Rhinolophus ferrumequinum: one gene and its partners. The protein of the gene in region 1 purifies or fractionates together with the protein of each later gene. This does not show direct contact. Links are inferred from orthologs where the notes say so. Each region holds a gene or a part of one and is shown on either strand. Other genes may lie near its edges.

What was found.
Region 2: the proteins of TCEAL1 (region 1) and KDM3A purify together in Homo sapiens (affinity purification with mass spectrometry; 3 studies listed by BioGRID and IntAct, counting the BioPlex papers as one, with this or other methods). This does not show direct contact. The link is inferred for Rhinolophus ferrumequinum from reciprocal best matches to the Homo sapiens genes TCEAL1 and KDM3A.
Region 3: the proteins of TCEAL1 (region 1) and USP11 purify together in Homo sapiens (affinity purification with mass spectrometry; 4 studies listed by BioGRID, counting the BioPlex papers as one, with this or other methods). This does not show direct contact. The link is inferred for Rhinolophus ferrumequinum from reciprocal best matches to the Homo sapiens genes TCEAL1 and USP11.

The regions. Positions count from the first base shown.
Region 1 is NC_046284.1:51,310,921-51,318,472, forward strand, and holds TCEAL1 (transcription elongation factor A protein-like 1), read right to left. Parts: upstream 2,556-7,552; 5' UTR 2,450-2,555; intron 1,993-2,449; exon of another isoform or gene 1,939-1,992; intron 1,803-1,938; exon of another isoform or gene 1,684-1,802; intron 1,607-1,683; 5' UTR 1,595-1,606; coding exon 1,067-1,594; 3' UTR 517-1,066; downstream 1-516.
Region 2 is NC_046296.1:8,022,057-8,029,852, forward strand, and holds the start of KDM3A (lysine-specific demethylase 3A), read right to left. Parts: upstream 3,028-7,796; 5' UTR 2,900-3,027; intron 2,395-2,899; 5' UTR 2,365-2,394; coding exon 2,179-2,364; intron 1-2,178. UniProt on the Homo sapiens protein: Histone demethylase that specifically demethylates 'Lys-9' of histone H3, thereby playing a central role in histone code.
Region 3 is NC_046284.1:86,668,923-86,676,421, forward strand, and holds the start of USP11 (ubiquitin carboxyl-terminal hydrolase 11), read right to left. Parts: upstream 3,065-7,499; 5' UTR 3,017-3,064; coding exon 2,871-3,016; intron 2,362-2,870; exon of another isoform or gene 2,212-2,361; intron 1-2,211. Other genes in the region: CDK16 (cyclin-dependent kinase 16), read right to left, coding at 7,026-7,069, 7,453-7,499.

The DNA of each region.
Region 1 (7,552 bases):
ACTTGGATAAGTGTAACATGAAAGCTGGAGGAGGGGCATTCACCAGATACCTGTGGGAGACACAGTTCAGCTTTGGTCCAGCAGGAACTCGGAAGCAATCGGTGAGGCTCTGCACTAAAGGATTGGCTGTGATGGAAGCCGTGGAAGAAGCAGGATCCAGGAGAAGGGGCAGCTGTGCCCAGCACACATGGCAGTATCCAAGGGAAGATAATAACAGGACAGAAACAGAATGTGGCACTCACCTGGAATCTCACAGGAATTGTGAGTGCATGTGCATGTGAGCCCTCCTTTGGGTACCAGCCCCAGGATTTGAAGGGGCTCTATTGGGGTTGGGGTCCTGCATGTTGCAGGTGGGGAGAAAAACACACAGCTCAAACGATCTTTACCTCATTTGATTCCACAGCAGCCCTGCAAGTCAAGTATTATTCCTATTTAAATGGGAAAAGAATGACCCTTAAATATAAGTACTTGGTTTATATTTCTGCCTAAGAGCTTCAGAAGAAACATGAGATTTACTTTAAGTTCTGACAAGTATTTATTAAGTGCCACATTGTCTTTATAAACTGATAGACAGTTTTTTAATTGCTTTACATTTTTTCCCATTATATTGGGTTTTTTTTTGCAACACAAATGTGTTCGTCTTGAAAAAACGAGAAGTTCCAACAAAGCAAACATGGAAAGAAAACAGACAAAAAAGTCATCTATTATCTTATCACACTTAGATAGCCACTGTTAAGCCTTTGAAGTATATACTTTCAGTTTTTCTTTGCATATTAATATATAAATATACATTTTTTACAAAAGCAGGATATTACATATACTTTTCAAAAATTGCTCTTTTCACTTCACAATATATAACGTCCATCTTGACATGCAAATAGGTGAGACACATGATTGGAAGAGAGAGAATTGCAGATGGGGGATGGAGTGGAAGCCCAAGTGAAACACCTTAAATAAAGCCACACAAAAAATTAAAATGAAGAAGATGGCCAGAGGGATACGAGACAATGCAAAGTTCAGGTGGCAATACTTAAATCAGGCCAACTAGCATCGAAGGCCTGACACATTACATAGGATAAGGACGGTTCCGTCTGGCCTTCCAGTGCATGATCATCAATTTGTTTCGTACTCTTTTCATCTCTTCCATCTCCTCTGCTACCTTTATCATCTCCTCGTTGCTCAAATTTCTACCGTGTATGTCCCCTCTAAATTGCGGGCGAGAACGAGCCAGCCTTTCCTTAAAGCTTCCTTCTTCCAGCTTATGTTTCCCCACTCCACAAGGAGGCTGCTCCATGGGAGGGCGCGCCTCGAACAGGTCCTTCCGAGAAAGGCGCTCCTGAGGGGGGCGCTCCTCCGCCACCAGCATCTCCGGCAGGAGCTCGGGCAGGAGTTCCTCGGGAAAGAACTCCTCCTCCGAGGACTGCTCCTCGGAGGACTGCTCCTCTAGACTCGGCTCTTCGGACGACGGCTCCTCTGGACTCGGCTCTTCGGAAGACTGCTCCGCGGGAGGTTGCTCCTCCTCCGTCTTGGGCGCGCTCTGTGGCTGTTCTTCATTTGCTTGGCAGGATTTTTCCATGTTGGCAATGGTCTTCATGAGCAGTTAATTCAGAGGAGACAAGAAAGGCAGAGTCGAGTCAGCATACTTGGTGGTTGGACCAAAACCCCGGCCTCGGGTTCCAATACTTGCCTTTTGCTGATTGAGGACCCAGGTCCTCCCACCTACACAAGCCGAGAGGCTCAGGTCCCGGGGACCCGGCCGCCTCTAGTGCCCCCGCCCGGCTCGCCCCCTCCTTCCCGAAAGCCCACCGTTTTCCCAGCAGGCCTTGCCCCGGGCCTCTCCCGCAGTGGTAGGGGCGGGGCGGCGGCGCCGCCTGCTCCGCTCCCACCGGCGTCCTCCCTGGGACCCCATCTCGGTCCCCTGCCCACCCCTTCCCGGACCTCTCCAGGCTGTTGGCTCCCGAGCGTTCTCTCCTGGAGGTGCCCCGCTGTGACCTGCAGACCAGCAGACAGACGCCTGACAGGGTAGGGGGCGGGGGGAGGGGAGGGGGAAGGACTGACCGACACTCACGCCCCTTTTCTAGACACCAGCCGCCGCCCCCGCGCCATCCCCTTCTGGCTCCCCCCATGCCTCCCCTCACCCCCATGTCTCCCCCCATCTCAAGCTTCGTCTTCCGTGCCCCCACCCCCACCCCGTAATGCTCGTTATTTCTTTTCAGGCGGGAAGTGGAAGCGAAGGATTACTTAGAAACTATTTCTAAGTGTAGCTCTCCCCTGGGGGTGGCCCACTCACCACCCCACCCCACCCCACCCCCCAAGACCACCATTTTCTGCACCGAAGTGCGTGCGCGGTGCTGGCATAGGGATAGGCCTGGCCTCTGCCATCCCGATCCCAGGGGTTACAGGGCAGCACCGGCACTCACACCGATTTCAAAGGACCAAGGGAACTTACTTATTTCTGCTTTTCCCTTCGACCAAAGGGCAATACACAGATGGTGTGTGGACAGGCAAAAAGGACCAGGACGAGAGGGACTTGGGCAGACATAGGCTCCTGGTCACGTGAGAGCCGCGCGTCACCGCGGAGCTCAGATCCCCAGTTACCACTTTGACCCGCGGCCTTGCTGCAGGAACCTGCTAGTATTTCCTGACCCCCCAACGCTCCAGGCATCGTCACATAGCTCTTTGTTTATGTTTGCCTTTTCCTGGTTACCCGAGACGGTCAGCGTCCAGTGCTGGGGGTTATTGCCTTTTCCTCTTCCTCTCATTCTGGCTTCATCAGCCATCAAGGCCCATTATTTTCCCTACAGTTCAGATCCTGCGCTGAAGTTGACTATTTCTCTTTAACGAATCAATATCATATGCCACCTCTCCCAGTTTTAATCCACGTCTATAACTCCATCGTGTTCATTTAGGCTCTGTCAGTATGGTTTTCATCTCTTGTGACTTTCATGGGAGATAAGCTTTCACTTTTCCATGACTTCATGATTTTATTTTATTTTAAACTTTTATTTACTTTAAGTTTGTTTTCCCAGGACCCATCAGCTCCAAGTCAAGTACTGTGTTTCCCAAAAATAAGACCTAGCTGGACCATCATCTCTAATGCTGTCTTTCAGAGCAAAAATTAATATAAGACCCGGTCTTATTTTATTATAATATAAGACAGGGTCTTTAATATAACATAATATAATATAGTATAATATAAGATCGGCTCTTATATTAATTTTTGCTCCGAAAGACAGCATTAGAGATGATGGTCCGGCTAGGTCTTATTTTTCGGGAAACATGGTAGTTGTTTCAATCTAGTTGTGGAGGGTGCAGCTCACACTGGCCTGTGTGGGGATCGAACCGGTAACCTTGTTGTTAAGAGCACCACGCTCTAACCAACTGAGCCAACCGGCTGCCCCCACATGGTTTTATTTTTTGTGAGCCCCAGACCTATATGACAAATAGAAGCTCCTGTCTAAATTGGTAATCATTCAGTGCTAGAATGCTAGAAAGAATTAAGTTTGTAAGTCTAAAAAGACCAAATACTTTGAATTTCATAAATCAAAATACACCTTTGTCCAAGTACAAATAGTCTGAAAACTTATTTACTATGTGAAATGGGAGCATTTTTGGTGGAGAGTGTGATATTATTATATACAGAAGGTGCCAAAAAAAATGTAGACACATTTTAAGAAAGGAAAACTACTAAAATTGTAATACTCAATATATACTGGTAACAAAAGATGAATACAAGTCACGTTTGACTTCTGCAGTTACAAGAGGTGCTCAAAGTGGTTACCATCAGCATCCAGATACTTCTGATTATGGCAAACTACCGCTTGAGCAACATTGACCAAAGTCTCCACTTGTATACGTTTTTTTGGCACCCCCCAGTATATATGTGTGTGTGTGTGTGTGTGTGTGTGTGTGTGTATGTATGTGTATACTATTATATATAACATACTAATATATATACTATTATCTATACATATACTATTATATATATGTATATATACTATTCAGTCATTTTTTCATAATAGAAGTAAGATATTTTGCTGGTACTCAGATCCTTAACTAGCCACCGCTTGGTGTTGCTGGTTGAGAAAGTTTATATTAAATCAGCAAATATTTGGATCGTGGGACTGCTGTACCCAGAAAGATAGATTCAGCACAGACGACATTCATATTAAACTGTGAAATAAGTCTGTTGACCACATACTGTGTAGCAGGATTAAAATCATGGTAACATACTCAATTGTCATTACAAGTCTGTATTTTTGGATCTAATGGTGTTTTATAATCTTCAACCTCATGCCTGCATCTCACCTACTCACATCAGCCTTGATGCTATTTTCTCAGGCAGATGCCCTTTCTTCCAGAGAGCAGACTATACCTCTCCTGTCTGTATTTTACACTTTCAACGTAGGTGGCCATCAGATCTGTGAGGATCCTGGGATTGCTTCTTTCAAATCCAGGCTGTCTAGTGAGTTTCTAAACAAATTCATATGTGAAATATACCATTTTGTTGCTTTTTATTCAACATCTAAGTTACTTTGAGCTGAGATAGCAGCAAGACAGGTATCAGTTCACCTTTATATCTTTTCCATAACTTTTCAATTTTTCAGTAATGTCTTTTAAACCAAGTTTCACTATGTCTTCCTTATTCTTTGCACCAAGGGTTGACTTCATCATTTGTATGGTTTCTTTCCAAGAGGAGCTCCATTTCTTTCATTTCTTCATTTGTATTCTTTTTTCCCTTACATCCCATGATGGAGAACTCACTACCTTAAAAGACACCCTACTGAGATTTCAGGCAGTTCTAATCATTCAGAGTGGTTTCTTGTTGTTGTTGAGCTGAAATCTTCCTCCCAGTAGTTTGTACATATTTGGTCCTGGTTCTGCCCTCTGGAGTGGTACAAAACAAGTATGAAAGAATGAAAGAGCCTTTTACCCTTGGTAGCCTGACACTGCCAGAGTTAATGTTCTGGTTCTTTCCCCTTCCCATCTGTGAGACACACTGGGCAATCTACTTGACCTTTCTGTGACTCAGCTTCCTCATCTGCAAAATTGGAAACATAGTAGTACTTACCTCATAGGATGGGTAAGAGGAATAAATAAGTCAGTATATGTAAAGGATCTGAAATAGTCCCTAGCATATAGAAAGCACTCTATAAGCCTTAACTATAATAATAGTAATCATAATAGTCGTATGACAGTGCTAATAACATTACTAATTATCATTCTCTTATTATTAATTGAGCACTTATGCCGGACATTTCACTGAACACTTTCAGTATGCTATCTCATTTAATCCTTAAACAATTATGTTCTTACCAAGAACCTCCCCAGTTATTTCACCTCTTTCTGATGTGACATATTTTTTTAAAGTCACTCACTATCCTACATACTCCTGAATTTGTAAATGGCTCTGAAAATACTGAATGTTCTGCCTAATGTAGAATGGAGTGATCTTATCACACCCTTCATTCTAGAATAGCCACTATGTATCTATAGATGCATCCTAAGATCATAGTAGATTTTTGTGGATACCATACAATACAGTTGAATCCACTTTAAGTTAGTCAACTGAAACCCTCAGATCTGTTTCATACATCCCTGTTAATGCACTTCTGTAAGTCATTTTAGTTTTAACCCAAGTACAGAAGCTTCTGTTTTTCTGGGTTAAATGTCTTCAATTCATTCCCTCATTCTCTGAATCCAGATTTTGTCATTCAGTACATTAGCTACAAAGTATTAATTTAAAGCACACCATTAGTACTATGTAAATAGGCTGGCAACTTCAACAAGCTCAGCAAAGATCTAGGAGCGATCGGCAAGGAGCTCTGACTCCAAATGAAAAAATTCCTTTTCTCTGTGGCAGCCAGGAGTGTACCCTACTCGGCCAGTTTCTCTTCCTTTCCTCTCTCAGTGTGACTTCTCAGGGTGGGATTACTTGCTAGTGCTGCTGATAGAAGACACAGTTGCCCCTGAAGGCTCCCAAGCCAGTACAAATTAACCCTCGTGAGAACTTGGTAAGCGTGATGGGCTCAGCAAGGGAGATAGGAGGAATTAGAACCAGGAAAGGAGGAAGGGACACAGTGTCTTCATATATTGGCTCTAAGTCTCTGCCTGACAGTAGCTGATTTGGGGTTCCCTTGAGAGAGAGGGCTCTTTAAGAAGGAATAGGTGAAGGTGGTTCTGCCATGGTGACAACCATTTGTTACAAAGGAATGTGATCAGCTACGTGTTTGTGTCTGGTCGGGGTGTGGGGCTGTGAAATAATCCTTCTGATGAATTTGATTTGATAGTGCTGATTTAGGGTCCCGGGAGGACATGTTGCTGAGCTCACTACTGCTTCCGTGTTTCCCCAAAAATAAGACCTAGCTGGACCATCAGCTCTGATGTGTCTTTTGGAGCAAAACTTAATATAAGACCCGGTCTTATGTTACTATAAGACTGGGTAATATAATATAATACCGGGTCTTATATCAATTTTTGTTCCAAAAGACACATCAGAGCTGATGGTCTGGCTAGGTCTTATTTTCGGGAAAACACGGTAGTGAAGGTTTAAGTCTAAGTACCTCTGTTTAACAGGTGAGATAGCTAAGGCTCTAGGAGGTTGCAGATTGTTTCCATGGAAACACATGAGCTAGTAAGCAGCTGAGATGGGATTTAAACCCTGCAGTATGACATGAGAGATTGAACCTTTAAGCAGTTTGTAAAACCGCTCCTGGGCAGTGGGCTCCAGACATGTTTATGTGCAGCACAGGCCTTTTCATGTCGCAGGAGCTGAAGGTGGGCAGAGCAGCCATGCCTGCAAGGGGGAGGGCAGTCAGCCCCTGGCAGCTGCTCCCATGACAGTAGTCTCCAGGGGCGTGGCCTTTCTCTGAGGGATCTAAGGAAACCCAGGGTGGGTTTCTGGTTCAGGGATTTCTGTACCCTGGTGAGGCTGCACTTCTGTGGCAGTGCCAGAGCACCCCCTCCCTCAAAGCCCTTCTACAGCACAAACTCCACCGAGGTCTCTCTCATTTTACTGTGCAGGGCTTATCTGCTTGGAGTTGAGGAATTCTGCCCTCTCCAGCCCAGTTCCCCCTACTGCTGCTGCCTCTGCGTTCTTTCCTAATGACACCCATGGCAGTACTTTGGCCTCAAGACTTGCTGCTGTGGGCTGCAGCAGGCCCTGTCCAGCCTGTGGCTCCCCAGCCCCATGGGAAATAGCCAGGTGGGAAATGCAGTGACTACAGCCTTCTCTTTTCTGCTTCTGGTCTCATCCTGCCTGGGCAGAGAGAGAGAGAGAGAGAGAGAGAGAGAGAGAGACACTTGTACATGCCCAGAGAAATAAGAAAAGGGCTCTGAGGAAAGGTGGGGTAGCAAAAAATCAGGCTGCTGGGAAACACGCAGGGACAGGGAAGGCAGGTCTAATTTGTGTTGAGGGGAGGCAGCACCAGGCTCTGGGCTGCGCAGGACTTGGGCTGTCACTCGCCAGAGGGCTCCAGAAGCCTGGGAGCCTTCTACCTCTCTCCACACCTCTGTGTCCTCCTCCTTCTCCCTATAAGGTGGAGGAAGGGGC
Region 2 (7,796 bases), on another chromosome or scaffold:
TGACTCTGGTGGTGAACATACAATGCAATACATAGATGATAGATTATAGAATTGTACACTTGAAATCTATATAATTTTACTAACCAATGTAACCCCAATAAATAAAAATTTTTTTAAAATTGTTCTTGAATTAAAATTCCATGTCAGGCACCTTAGTTCAGTGGAAAAGACATACACACAGCAAAACCTAGATTCAAATCCTCCCTCCATCACTTAGTAGCTCATTATGCAAGTTTAGACAAGACTCCTTTTCCTAAATCCATTTACTCATTCTGAAAAATGAAGATCATGCCACCATCTCAAAGGCTGGGGGTGGGTGGGGAGATATGGAGATCAAAAAGAATACACATATAGGACCTCCCAGATTGCCTTCCTAACCCGATGGTCCTCAATCGCTGTTGAAGAAGAGAACACACAGTCTTCTCATCATCTGCCAAAGAACTAAAGAGTGTACAGCTTAAATCAAATCTTGTTCCCATTCAAATCAGGTAAGAACAAATGTACTAGAGAACACTGTATTTGCCAGGTGAAATAAACCACAACTATGATTGAAATCTACTACACAAAGCCCATTTTATGGAGAAAGATTATTAGCCTGAAGCAAATAGGTTGGCCATCTCTGCACCACGCTACATTCTTTCTATAACATCAAAACCTGGTTTACTGGGAGTGAAACGGAGAAAAAACCAAACTTTACAGTGTATGACAAGAGCCCTTTGTGGCACAGCCCTTGATCAGGGAGCATGATGATTAAGAGGGTGGGCTCAGAAGTCAAAACTTCCTGGGTTAGAACACAGCCTATGCCAATTCCTAGGTATGTGACCTTCGGCAAGATACTTAATCTCCCCCCTCCAACCCTAGGATTTTTATCTGTAAAAAGGAGCAATGTTAGTACTACTTCCGAAGAACTGCTATAAGGATTAAATAAAATCATGGCTGTGAAGTGGTCAGCAGGATTTGTGGCACATGGTTAAATGCTCAATGGGTTACTCCTTTTTTTCAACATGAAGACAAGGCACACTGGAAGCTTTAAAAATATATAACCACACGTCCTTTCCCCAAAACCCTTTGCAGAGTAATACTGGTTTAGGCATGCATGGTCACCTTGAAAGTATTCAAATGAATCGTTTCAGAAATTAACACATATTTAACTGCCAATGCTAAAAGTTGCTTCCCTTATTTGAGTATAGTTTTCAAAAAAAGAAAAAAGCAAAGATAATGAATGACCAAGACACTGAAACACATCCATTACCCTGGGTAGAAATCTCTTCTGTCCTGACAAGCTTCCTTCAGGTTATCATCACTTCGGAGTCTTTGTTAGGGACCTTTTTCAGTTATTTTTGCACAAAGGAGTCTTTGTTGGTACAATGGCTTCCTCACTGGTGTTCCCAGACAATCTTTTCACACCAACACTTCTATTAGGGAGTACAATCAGAATTCATCTCTTTTTGAAAAGATGTAACTGGAAAAATCCCTGGCCGCACTTGTTCTCGTTTCTCTCCCTCTCTCTAAACACCCAAGTGGAATATTTCCAAGTCAAACCTCCAACACACCACAGAAGGGGCAGCTAGCTCCACCCCATCCCTCCATATATGGTCCTATCCCACACCCACCCACAGATGCATCTTACACAACCAGGAACCCACTCCTGCCCTGATCCACCATATATGGACAAATACCCACCCTAATGTGCATAATACAACCAAGCTCCTCCTCCTACACGCACACATCATTTCTAACAGGACTGAAAGTTCATGAAGTTGGGTGAAGAAATTAAGAGGAACAAACATAAAAGCCAACTGAAGCACTTCCAAGCACTAGCCCTCAATTCTTAATGATTCCAAACGTCACTCACTTGCCCAGCTTAATAGTAACAACGATACTCCCCCTCCGGAGAAATCGTCACACAGTCCTAATGGGGCACAGCGCCGGCAATACCGAAACATGTCTGAACAACCCTAAGCCCATTTGCAGACCCAGGCAACTCTACGCCAGACATACCTCGGCTCTACACAACCCTTTCACAAACTTTTAAGGTCTAGTTTTCTGCACCTTCAGGTCAGATGCCAACTTTCTTTCCGATCGTCCTTTTCACAAAAGGGGAGGAGGGTGCTAGCTGTCTTGGGATCAAGGTAAGTACGAAACGTCCTACCGCCGAGGCCTCCGTGCCGGTTTTACCTTCAGATCCTTCTTGGTAACGTCCGTGTGGGAGACGGCTCGAATGGTCCCGGAGAGCCAGGGCCACTCGGCAACGCGCTCCGCGTCCCAGCCGTCGTGGCCGCCGTCGCTGCGGTCGGCTGCGGACAGACTAAGGAATCGTTTCCCCACCAGTACCGGCCAACTTTCTCCGAGCGTAAGCACCATGGTTTCCACGCCTGCAGGAAGGGCTCCTCCCTGCCAAAACACAAAACCAAAATGCAATGGGGGCGGCAGGTGGTGGGGGGCCGGGGAGAGGGCGGTCGATGGGAGGCGGGTGCAGAAGGAAGGGTCCTACCCACGCGCGGAGGACAAGACCCCGGGCGGCGGCGGGTGCGAAGGAGGACCCTCACCCGACCTCTCCAACCGCACCCTCCCCGCGCCCCGATCCCTCCCCCACTGCAAACACGGGCCCAAGCGTCGCGTGACCCTCGCTCTCCCAAGTTTCGCTTTTCCAAAACCGTAAACCTACATACAGAGAGAGTGAGGGGAGAATGACTGGCGGCTTAAGTGGATTTTAAAGTGTTCGGAACCCCTCACCCCTGAAAGGAAAAGGCCCCGATGCAGAGAGCCCGTCCCAGGCGGCCGGGTCCCCCACGGTTCCGCACTTGCCCCGCCCCGACACCCCGCTTCCCGGCCGCCGATGCCCGGCCGCCCCTCGCCGCCGTCTGCGGCGCGGGGGATGCGGGTTCGGCTCCTTCACCTTTCTTCCTCGTCTCCCCGGAGCCGAGGCCGCGACGCTCTTACCCCGCCTCCCTGAGTCACCCGCGGCCGCCGCCGACTCCAGCCGCCCAGCCGACTCAGGCTCTGACTTGGTTCAAGAGCTCTCACAAGACACGCACTGCCTCCCGGGCCCGCCCCCTCGGAGCCGCTTCCGTCGTTCATTGGCTGAGTCCAAGAAGTTGAGTAAGGCTCGTGGGGAAATAGCCCATCGCAATTGGCCGGCCTGCCCAGGGCGGGGCGAGAGAAAAAAACAATTCCTTAGCTGCCTCCTCCCTTTGCCCTCCCCCTTCCGACTCCCGGACGACCCCCATTAGGTTAAACTACACCGAACGTAAGCGAAAGATCCCTCCGCCACAGCCATTCTTTACGTTTATTGCCTCACGGTATGCAAAAAAGTCCAGCGAAATCGGTTCTCAACTTTAGGGCCCAGAGGACAATTGCAGTGGTGCACAGATAGGACTGAATGACGAACCCCGGGGCTGTAAGAGCCTATTAGATTGCTCCTCAAGGGCATAGCCTGTCGACCGAAGAAGGGCTTTCCACTTGGCGGAAGAATCTCACAGGAAAGGGGTGAAGGCGGTGCAGAGTCTGCGGGGGAGGAAAGGGACAAGAACGTGCGGTTTCAGGCGTACTCAACTAGAGGGAGGAGCGACAGTGCTCTGCGGGCTCGTGCGCAGGCGCTTCGCGGACCTGAGGCAGGATCTTGGGCTGCCGGGCGAAATGGCCGCGGGAGGCGCAGGCGCACGTGGTGCTGATCATGGAACGTCTAAAGTCCGCCATTTTGTAGGAAAAATGAAGAAAGGCATGGAGTGACGTTCATTAAATCTAGAGAGGCCACTCAGTACAATGCAGAATGGGATTTTTTTTTATATATGCAAAGGGAGGATGAGAAGATATTCTGAGACTAACAAAGAAATTAAAAGACTAAATGAAGGCCATAATGATGCCACAGATACGAAAGAGGCTGTGACTTTGAAGGACAAAGGAGATGAGATGATTGTGTGATTTGGACCTGAAGTTTATTGGTTGAAGGAAGAAGAAATGGAATGAAGGAATTGAAGACCTCTTACTTTATAAAATCTGGTACTTGATATGGCATCATATTTAATCCTTAAAATAATGAGTGAAGAACTTGTGCTCCCAATTATACAAGTGTGCGAACTGGGAATCAGAGAAAGTTTAGAAATGAATTCAAAGGATTATAGATGCAAGTTAACTCCAGGTATTGTTTGTGAACATATGTTCTAAATAGTTGATACTAATTTTTTTAAATTGAGTATAAACCCTGTAGAATTAAATTTGATTTATAATTTGTAGACCATTAAAAATGAGGAAATGGAACAATGAAAACCTATCCGGTTCAACAAAAGTCAAAAATGAAAACAGAAGCAAACACTTGATGGAAATATGGTAAATAGAAAAAAATTAAATGAGAGGAATAAGTCCACATATGAGTATTTACAATAAATATAAATGGATTAATTTTACTCATAAGTTAAAAAGACACAATGGATTAAAAACAAACTCCAGCTACAAACTGCCTACAAGCAAACTCCAATGACAGCAAAGGAAACTTGAAAATATTGGGGTAAAATATTTTCTAATCAAATTGAAGGAAAGCAATATTAACAAAATTAATAAAGTGATATTAACATAATTGAAAGTAAAAGCATCAAAAGAGAAAAGCATCTTATATTAAAAAAAGATAAAGTTCGCAAAGATAATATATACTTTTGAACTATTATGACTCTGAAGACATAGCTTACCTAGCTGAAGCTAAGACTAAACTGTTAAATCTATAAGGAAATTTTGACTATTTGTAGTCAAAGTAGAATATATAAATATATCTATCCCATAAATAGGCACCTCAGATAGATTTTTTAAAATAAGTGAGGGTATGGAGGACTTAGATTACTACTAATAAACTACTAATTTGAGAAACAGTTGCTAGGGACAAGTTCTACCAAATTTTAAAGAACATGTAACTCCTATGTTATATTCATGGTTCCAGAACTTAGGAAAGATGTAAAGAGATCCAATGCATTTTATAAAGCTTGCAAAACCCTGTTATCAAATCTGAACCAGGAGAATACAAGAAAGGACAACTATTGTTAAGTCATTCTTATGAATTATAGATGGAAAATTCTTATATAAAATATCAGCAAATTAAATCCCACAGTATATTTTAAAAATAACCAACACGATTAATTAGGTTTATCATATGAATACAAGGATATTCAAGATTAGAAAATTACTACAATTCACCACAACTGGTTTAAAGAAAAATCATATGTTCGTATTAGTAGGGGCTAAAAAGAACATGCATTCACATTGAAGAATGAACTACCTAGAAAACTAGGATTATTAAGAGCACACGTATATTCAATACCTATTCATTATTTTAAAAAATAATTTAAGCTTTCTAGAAACCCAGGAATATATGGTATCTACCCTAGAAAAACACCTATACATACCACTGGGAGCTATTAATAAGATTGTTCATTTCAGCATTGTTTATGGTTGTGAAAAAATGGAAACAATCTAAATGTACTTCAACTGGGGAATAAATAAATGGAATGTAGTATAATGGAAAGAAGTAGAGCATTTGAAAAGGAATGAAATATATATGAGTATCAATAAGGATAGATTAGCAAAACACATTTTGAATAAAAATGAAAGTTATATTTGGTACTATTTAAAAATGCACATATAAAAACAACACTATATATGTTCTGTGAAATATATATATTAAAAGTCATAGTGATGGTTAGTGGTATTGATGGGTTCACACTAGAATTGGGGGTATTGGTCAATAAGCATTATTTGCAATTCATTTTTATAAGGCAAATGTATTTGTGTTGCTATTGGAATTTAAAGTTAATTTTAAAATCCTGTGAATGGAATTGACCACACGAACATTCAAGAGCATTCATGACAATTAGAACTAACATAAGAATCAAGAGGGTGGTGCAATAAAAGATCAACAAACAAAAATCAAAAGAATTCCTATTCCATAACAAACATCAATTAGAACATATAATAGAAAAAAGAAACCATTTATAATAATGAAAACTACAGAATACCTAAGAAAAAGACATAACATGAAAAGAACAAAACCTATCTCGAGAAAACTATAAGAATTTTCTGACATGTAATAAAAAAGATTTTAAAAACTTCCTCTATTTATATGATTTGTTATAGTAAAGATGTCATTCCTCCTCAAATTAAACTATAATTTCAATGAATGAATCAAAATAGAAATATATAGTTAAAATAATAAAAAAACAGACCCATGTATTTATGAAAATTAGTTTATGATTAACACACCATTTCAAATAAGTGTAAATAATAAATTATTCAATATATGCTATGAGGTCTATTGGTTACCCATTAGGGAAAATGTGACACAGATCCCTACATCAACATTCAGAAAAATAAGTTCCAGGTGGATCAAAGAGCTAAATATAAAAAAATCTAGTAAAATATTTTAAGATTCCTTCCCCTTTCCTTCCTCCTTCTCTTTCACTTCCTCTTCCTGAACACTTCAATCCTAAAGCCATTAGGAGTGCCGAGCAAAGTAGGTTTTCATAAGGAGAGGCTGCCTGGCATGGAATGTTTGAGCTCAAAAAAGTAAGGAGTACTAGCCTGGCATGGGGAGTCAGAATCCAAGCCCCCTCGTTGTGGCCTAGTGGTATCCAAAGCTTTCTTTTAACAGAACTTGGGATCTGAGTGCCTGGAAGAGTTGTCTTCCTTCTCTTGACCTACCCACAGATGTCAGCAGGTCCCACTGCATTTTAGGAGTCTCTCTGAGCTCTCCTGCCCATCACCCAAGCAGTAGATAGCTGCTGTCTGATACTCTGTGTAAGGCCTGGAGTGTTTGTGAGGTTTCTTCATAAGGACTCCCTCTCAGCTTACCCGTCTCTCCTCCAGGGACAGATAACTGCTCCCTCATACTCAGTGTAAGGCCCAGTGCGCTTCTGGAGAAGCACTTGCTTCTCTTGCTTCATCCTCAGACTTCAACAGGCCTGGTGTATCGGTGCCTCAGGTGTCTCTCTCAGATGTCCTGCCCTACCCTTTCTTGTGAGCACTCAGTGAAAAAGATCTATAGAAAAGAGTTGGCAGTTTGGTTCAGACTCCCCTGTGTCTTCAAATCCAGGAATTTAAACTGTCATTCCAAACCACATCCTGCCTTTAAAATTATATTAAAAACTCAGCTGTTTTCTTTTTGCCTACATCTATGGATGCTTTCTTCTGGTCTTCCTGCTGATCTACCAAGAATGAACTCAAGCATGGGTCCCTTCTCTCATAAAACTTGGTCATTTCTTGGAGTTTCATTCATTAGGTTTCTTTGAGAGCTTCTAATGGACTTAAAATAAGTATGATTCTATAGATTACCCAGCTCATTCTCATCATCACAGTGAGAACAACATTTCCTTGAAGCTTTCTATATCCAAAGTAGAAACAAAAGTCAACTTGGTTTGCTTTGATTACTCCATTGATAACAGCTGGGCTGACTGTGATCCACTGTTTGAAACTTTTGGCCCTTAGAGACCATGACTCCTGATGAACTTGCCTTTGACTCAGCCTTGACCTCACTCTTTGTGTTCCCTGGATCTGAAGTAGGCTTTCCTACCTTCTCATTCTAATTATGCTTGGGTTTTTTCATCCCGTTTTATTTTTATTTGACTCTAGTTCCTAACACACAGCAATTGCTCAATAAATATTGAGCTAACCTTGGGCAGTTTGAATCTATTGCTTTTATGTTCATTTTTGATTCCCCTGACTTGTATATTCTGAACAAACTTCATTCTTTATGTAGTCCTTCCCAGATGACCTGAATCCTTGCTTTTTTCTCTCTTATTTCCAGGATCCATTTT
Region 3 (7,499 bases), about 35 Mb from region 1:
TTTTCGAAGAAGCTATACTAGCCTAGATTGGAATTTACTCTTAAAATATTAGCTTCTCCTAGAAATTAAATCAATTGCCCTTACCCAGATCTACCAGCTGACAAAAGACAGAAGGTGCAAATATTAATATTGATACGAGGTATATGATTTTGGGGTTAGTTCATGACTTCAAAATGCTTTAAACACAAATTTCCTGACCACTGTAGCAAACCCCTAGAAAATAGGCGGCAAATTAAAGAACCTTGAGATGCTTTGCTCTTACCTAAATAGATAAGCATATAAAAAAATGGAGTTAAGGAAAAACGCTTCTTGATATTATCCACAGTAGCAGAGATAAACTGGCTTCAATACTGAACCAACATTGGTGGGTTAACTTTTTTACTGATATAACACACAAAAAATTAAATTAACAGAAAACGAACCATTTTAAAAACGAACAATTCAGTGGCATTTAGTACATTCACAATGTTGTGCCACCACAACCTCTATTTAGTTCCAAAACATTTTCAATCCCCCCGAAAAGGAAACCCTGAACACCTCTAAACGGGCCATAAAGACGTTCCAGTTATTGTTGTTTATTCTCAGGATGGACTGAGGCTTTTCCTTGGAGAGCCATAGCTTAACGGTGTAAAAAAGTGTTTGGTTCCGTATTGCGGATTTAGGGAATCTCAACCGTGTCTCTCCAGTAACAGGAATATATATATTTTACCAGTTCCGTGATTAAAGATCTCTGTAAGATGGGCAGACCTCCCTGTAAAGGCCATGAGGTGGGAGCCCGCTCGTGGCCTTAGAGGAACAGCAAGAGTCCAATATGGCCGGTTGGAGAAGGTGAGGGGGAGGGTAATCAGATCTGAGGAGAAATCAGAGCTGGGGACCAGCCTCACAATCATAAAGCCTTGCAAGCCACTAACAATTTTACCATTTACACTGCAAGAGGTGGGAAGCTGCTAAAATGTTTTGAGGTACAGATGGACATAGATTATGTTTTTGAAAGAATTACTGTGCATGGAAAGAGAAAAATAGTACCTTTACCGTGGAGAAACCGAGCAGATATCACCTTCACTACGTGATCAAGGCTAACGTCACAAACGACGTCATGTGGATACCATGTACCACCTGATACAATGTACACGGTATACATCCAATATGGTTTCATATATATTCTCCAGGAAAATTAAAGCTTAGACCACAAACACTATTTTTGGATGCATACAGTGGTGGAAAAACATTTACCAAAATTAAAAATTCAGGATAACAGTTTCCTGAATTTTCATCTGGGAGGGGCACAGAAGGCTTTCTTAAGGTAACCGTCTGAATCTTAACCCGAGTGGTGAATTCACAAATTTTTGTTTTATTGTTCTTTGTTTTTTTTTTTTTACTTTGAAACAGACTCCGAATAACTGCAAAAGTAATACAAAGACTTCACGGATGCCCGCCATCCAGAAGACCAAATTTAACATTTTACCCATTTGCTCGACCATTGTTTCTTTAAATACAGTTTTATATACCCTATTTTTTCAACCATTTGAGAGTAAGCTGATGATTCTTTACCCCTAAATATTCCGGCATGTTCTTCCTTCAAACAAAGATATTCTCTTTCACAACCACAACACAATTACCAAAAGCCAGAAATTAGCGGTCCTAATATCGAATCTACAGACCTAGTCAAATTTCACCAGTTTTCCCATTAACATCTTTTACAGTAAAGAAGAGAAAATTAATTTTATGAGGAAAAAAAGCCTCATTTTTCAATTATTTATTTTTTCTGCTCCGGGATCCAATCCAGGATCGCACGTTTCATTTAGTTACCATTAACTTGTTAAATCCCATTAATTCCTTCAATCTGGAACAGTTCATCTTTTGTCTTTCACGACCTTGAAATTTTTGAATAGCCGTTTATTCAAAACGGCCGTTTACTTTTATAGAATGTCCATCGATTTGGGCTACGTTAAACGTTTTATACAATTTGCTTAAGGCTTACGTATTTCATAATTTAAAAAAGGAGATACAATTCGGCAAAAAAGAAACTGAACTCAGAAACAGTAGATTTCACGCACTGGTTAGCCATGAAATCAGTAAAAAACAACCCTATTTATCGAGATACTCATTAACATTTTAAAAATAGCGCTTTTTTTTCCCTGAAGACAAAAAAATAACAGTACTAAAACAGAAACCAAATATAACATCGAAGGTCCCTCCCGCGCCAATCACCTGCACTTTCTTCCGACCTGGGAAGGCCTCGTCCGAAAGCAAAAACCTCGCCGCGTCACAAACTTCGCTCACTCGCCGGCGCCATTTTCTGCTTCACTAGCAACACCTCCCCTCTGCCGCAGTCTTTCCTTAGCCTCAGGACACGCCCCTCGGCGCACGTCACGTACTTCGTTACCAGGCGCGAGCCCCGCTCTCCCGCCCACAGCTCGGATTTCGCTCTTCTCCCTGACGTCACCGCCTTGCCTCGTTCTCAGGCTCCGTGGAGCAACCGCCCCCGCCCCCAGATTTACGTGACTCCACGCAAACCACGCCCCCAACCGCCGCCGGACCGCCTCCTTCCCAGGTTCCAAGTTCCTCTACGGAGGACCAGGCCCACCCCCAAGGCCGTTTCTTATCAGGCCCCGCCCCCTACCTCTCCATAACAAACCCCATCTGGTTCTCAGGCTTTAGGCTCCACCCCCGGGCCACGCCTCTTTCCCAGACCAAGCGATCACTCACAGGCACTTCCCCGCCCCTCTGCCCCGCTCGTTCTCCGTCCCACAGGCCACAGGCCACACCCCCGCCCCCACCGAACTGCGGACCTGGGCGCCAAGTTCTCCACCATCACCAACACCCCCACTATCCCTTTAGCCAAGGCTCCGCTTGCAGCCCAGTCTTACCAGCTTTCGCCGGCCCGTAGTGGACGCTCTCGCCCACTCTCGACGTTCTCAATCTGGCGCCGCTGGCTCTCTAGGCCCGGCACCGCTTCGCGCTGTGGCTCTGGGTCCTCGGCCGTAGCCGAAGGATTCGCTGCGACCGCCGCCATCGCCGTTCGTCCTCCTCTTACAGCCCTCGCAGGGGCATAGAGGAGTCCCCCTCAATTGGCACTTCCGGATTCTGGCCCGGAAACGGAAGCGGAGCCCCCCAACTAGCCGGGGGCTCCTACAATCTTGGAAATGGGCACCACGGTGGGACACGTCCAAGCGCTAGGCCGGCATTGGACCGTGGGTGGTGATGTTTCAGACTAATAGGCGGGGTAAAACCTCCAGTTGGGAGCTAAGAGAGACAAAGGTGCCTTGTGGGATCCTAACGCCATGTTGAGTCCCTGCAAATGGTTGTGTGGAGGGTGGAGGCAGAGGTCCCCGAGGTAGACGAGGACATACTGGGGAGTGCTCGAGGACACACAAAGGTACCAGGTCTTTTCGGTTCTCTGCTGGGGACCGCGGGTCCCTACCCTGGGAGCGGCGTTTTTGTTAGCCGGACCAGGATGCCCTTCTTTCAATGCACTACACTTCTCGTCTATCAAAATCCAATGCGAAAGAGGTCACCACCTCCACAGCGCCACCCAGGCCTGCGGACTGCTTCCCTGTCTGAACTAGGTTTGTTCTCTCCATAACCGTGTTGAATGGAAGTCAGCCCCAGGCCCTGTGTATTTATCGGAGTTACAGCAATGATAACTAGTAACAGCCTTAAGTGCTTTATTGCAGTAAATGGTAGCCTTAGGCAGCAGATATCAGTCGCCCATGGGCAACAGTGGAGCAAGCTGAGGACCAGAAATGTTACTTCACTTTGCTCCAGCCAGTAAGTGGCTGAGCTGTGGTTTGAATAAAGGAATTCCAGTTCGAGCTGTGACCTTAAACACCAGGCTGGAGATACTTAAACTGTGTTCCTAGGCTTCAATCCGTTCAGGAGGCCCTTTAGGGGGTTCACAAAGTCAAAAATAGTTTCATAATACTTTTTTTATTGTCATTCTCTCTTGCACGTGTGGTGGAAGTTTTCAGAGGCTTTGTGACAAAAGCAAAAGCTTTCTGGCTGTCCTCAACTTTAAAGAATATAAAAGGCTTGAGACCAAAAGTTTCAGAACCGTTACACTAGGCCAGGGTTTCTCAATCTCCGCACTGTTGGCATTTCTGTTTTGGGAAGTAGTGCAGGATGTTGCACTGCATCCCTGGCCTCTTCCCACTATACATACCGTTAGCGCCTCCCAGTTGGGACAACCAAAAGTGTCTCCAGACATTGCCAAAAGTCCCCTGGGGGCAGGGCAGGATTATCTCCGATTCAGAATCATTGCACTAGGTTATGCCATTCTTTTCTCTGCTAGGGCTCCCCACCCTCCCTATTGGTGATAACAGTAGTATCTCCCTCTGGTTCCCTGCATCTACATACTTGTATTTTGGTTATCCCCATCTGACCATCCCACAAACTCCCCAGGACAGGCTCACGATCCTGGGTCTGTTTCAGTGACTTCTTTCACTTCACCACCCCGTCCCACAGGCAAGAACACACCTCGCCTCTCCACACCTCTAGGCCCATGCATGCACACAGGTCCCTGGGCCTGGAGTGTCCAGAATACCTTCTCTGTGCACAATTTCAACCCGCCCCACATACACGATCTCATAATTTACCTCTGTGGGGCAGGGGTTGTCTTTATTACTGATTCCAGACCCCAGCCCAGACCTGGCACGGATGAGGGTAACAACTCAGCTGCATAATCTCTGAGGAAGAAAAGGGAGCAGCCCTTTCACCTGGGGGTCCCCATAGCGGCATTCAGGTTGGGTTTGGCACATAGCACATTGCTCATTGCTTTTCAAGCCCAGCTGCTCTCCCATTGCCCCTCTGCAGACTCCTCCTCCCCATTTACCTGGGTGGCCAGTCCTTCCTACAGTCCAAAAGGTTTCCCTCCCCAGGGCTGGACTCATTCTCTGCACCTTCCAGAAGCCCACCTCTGCCCACACCGGTGACCCTACCACTTCCCAGAGCAGTTGTGTGAATTCTAGCCTTTCTAAGGCTGGCCTGGCAATCTTGTCCCCCTTTGCAAGGTCTTCATTTTTCCAGCCTCCCTTGCTCCAGGAAGGGGGACAACTTCCTTATCTTGTTCTAGCCAAGAGATGGCACAGGAAGTTGCAGCCCTATTTGTTACAAGGAAACAGACAGGGAGGGAGGGTGCCCTGTTTTGCCTGCTTGCTTTCCCACCTCTGGGGCCATGACAGCCATCACGGAACCGTGAGGCTGCAAGCTGAGATATAACCAAAGTGCATACAGGAACACAGTGTAATGATTAGAGGCCCTTGGGCCCCTGCCGCTGGATTTCCGTAACCAGCATAGTTAGACTTGCTATTACCTGCACTGTTTACCTGGCCTTGCCCACCCCATCTCTTCTGCTTGGAAGTCGATTCTTGGCTTTGCCCAAAACGGTGGGACAGGGGCTAGAACTCTCAGGACAAAGAGAATGAAAGCCTCGGCTACCCTCACACTTTAGGCAAAGTCCCAGGTTGTGCCATTCGACCTGTGGCCTCTCACAAATGACTGCATCCTTCCCAGGGTTATCTCACCCACGTCTCACCGTGGTTTTCATTACTTCCTAGACACTAATGATCCAAACTTCAAGTTCCATTGATGGACTCACTCCTGATTTTAATCCATGTATTATAGGATTCCCCTACCCCCTCAGTGGTCCAAAATCCATCCTCTTCTCATATTCCTTCTCCAACTGGCCTGCCTTATGGTGTCCCAGTGAGACACGTGGTGGTCATACTGGGCCTTGCTGCCTCATCTCCCCACCTCCTGGTTTTGTGGGCCTTTCATGTATTTTCCAAACAGCCTCCCTACACCTTCCCGTCTCTACCCTCTAGCTGGCTTCCTCATATTCTTGGGTAAATCCAACTCCTCTGTCTGCTTGATTCTTAGCCCATCCTCTATCCAGCCTGCCTTACCTGCTTCAGTGTTCCACCGGTGTGTGTGCAAACCCTGATGCTTTTTTCATAGCTGTGACGTGTCCCTGGCCCACTCCCCGTGTTCTCCTACACTACGGGGACCAGGTATGAATTCACCGTGGTCCCAGCACTCACCCTGGGTCAAGCCCACCCTCACCCCTGTAGGGATTTTCAATCACGTTTTTCACTTTAGACTTTTTAATATTTCATACAGCGATTATGGTGCATTCAGGAACCCAACCCCCCAAACCCCACTAGGAGGGCACCCACCCCTGCCCTCCCACCCCATTTGAGGGACCCAGGGTTTAGAGTGGAGGAAGGGGAGGTAACCACCCATCTGGGACTGACCCCAGAGACTGTCCCTGCCCTGCCTCACCCTCCCCAGGGGTTAGGGGCTAACGCCTGGGCACAACCCCCCCTTTTGCCCCCCTGTCCCTGCCTGTGCACATATACACTATGGCTCCTCACTGAGTTGGTCAGTTCCCGGCAGGGCCCCTACTCAACAGCACCGAGTGGGATGGGAGCAGGAGGGCTGGGCTAGGGAGACCCTGAGAAGGAAAGAGACCCCAGCTGTGGGACTGCAAGAGGGAAAGAGTGGGGGCCCCCACCTTGTCCATCTCCCAGAGTCTCCAGTAGGGCCCAGGTACCCCTGTGGCTGGGGATGGCCGGCGGGGGTCGGAAGGCGAGTAGTTGAGGCATGCTTTCCCTTAGCCGACCCCAGGGTCTGGTGATGGTCAGGGTTTTGAATAGGGGCTGTGTCCCTGCCTTGGAAAGGCTGGGAGTGGGGCTTCATTGCACAAAATACTGTGGAAGGGCCACACGCAGGGGGTGGGGCCCAGCCAGTCTGTATACAGAGATATTGCATTTAAAAAATGAAAACCTCATTTAAAATAATTAAAAAACAATGAATGAAACAAACAAACAAACAAACAAACGGCCCACAAAACATGAGGCAGGTGGGGCAGGCAGGAAAGCAGGCAGGGACAGTCTCAGACCCAAGGCATCGCCACACCTTGTCTGAGTCGAGAACCCCTGCCTGGGCTAGCTCTGGCCCCCTGGCTAGCCAAGGGGTAGTGAGTGGTCCTGGGGGAGGGCATGATGAGGAGGGGTACAGGCCTGGCCTCAATGTGGGAGGCTGGCACGGCCATGCTGTCCGCCGGCAACTACTGAGACAGAGAGAAAGAGACAAACAGACCAGGCGAAGGAGCATTGAGAGCTTTGTTAGCACCCAGCAGACAGGCCAATGGGTGGGTTGACAGGCCAATGATCGGGTGTTTGGACAGGCAGCAGGGGACATGTGGGCAGGTGAGCATGAGTCAGGCAGGTGGCAAGCAGGGAGGATGCAGTTGGGGGCTGCCCTGTGAGGGGTATGGCATCCCTCCAGCTGCTGCCTGCTGGGGCCTGGGTCTGTGGCTTAGAACTCGGCTTAGAACTCGGTGTCCACCACACGGAAAGCTGGCCTGCCTGTGGGCAAAAGCAGAGCGGATGGCTGTTGGTGGACAAGCAGGTAGGTGGATGGGGCAGGGAAGAGGGTAAGAGCCACACCTACCTGAGTCAGGCATCGACGAAGAGCGAAGGCTGGCCTCCTTTTGTAGC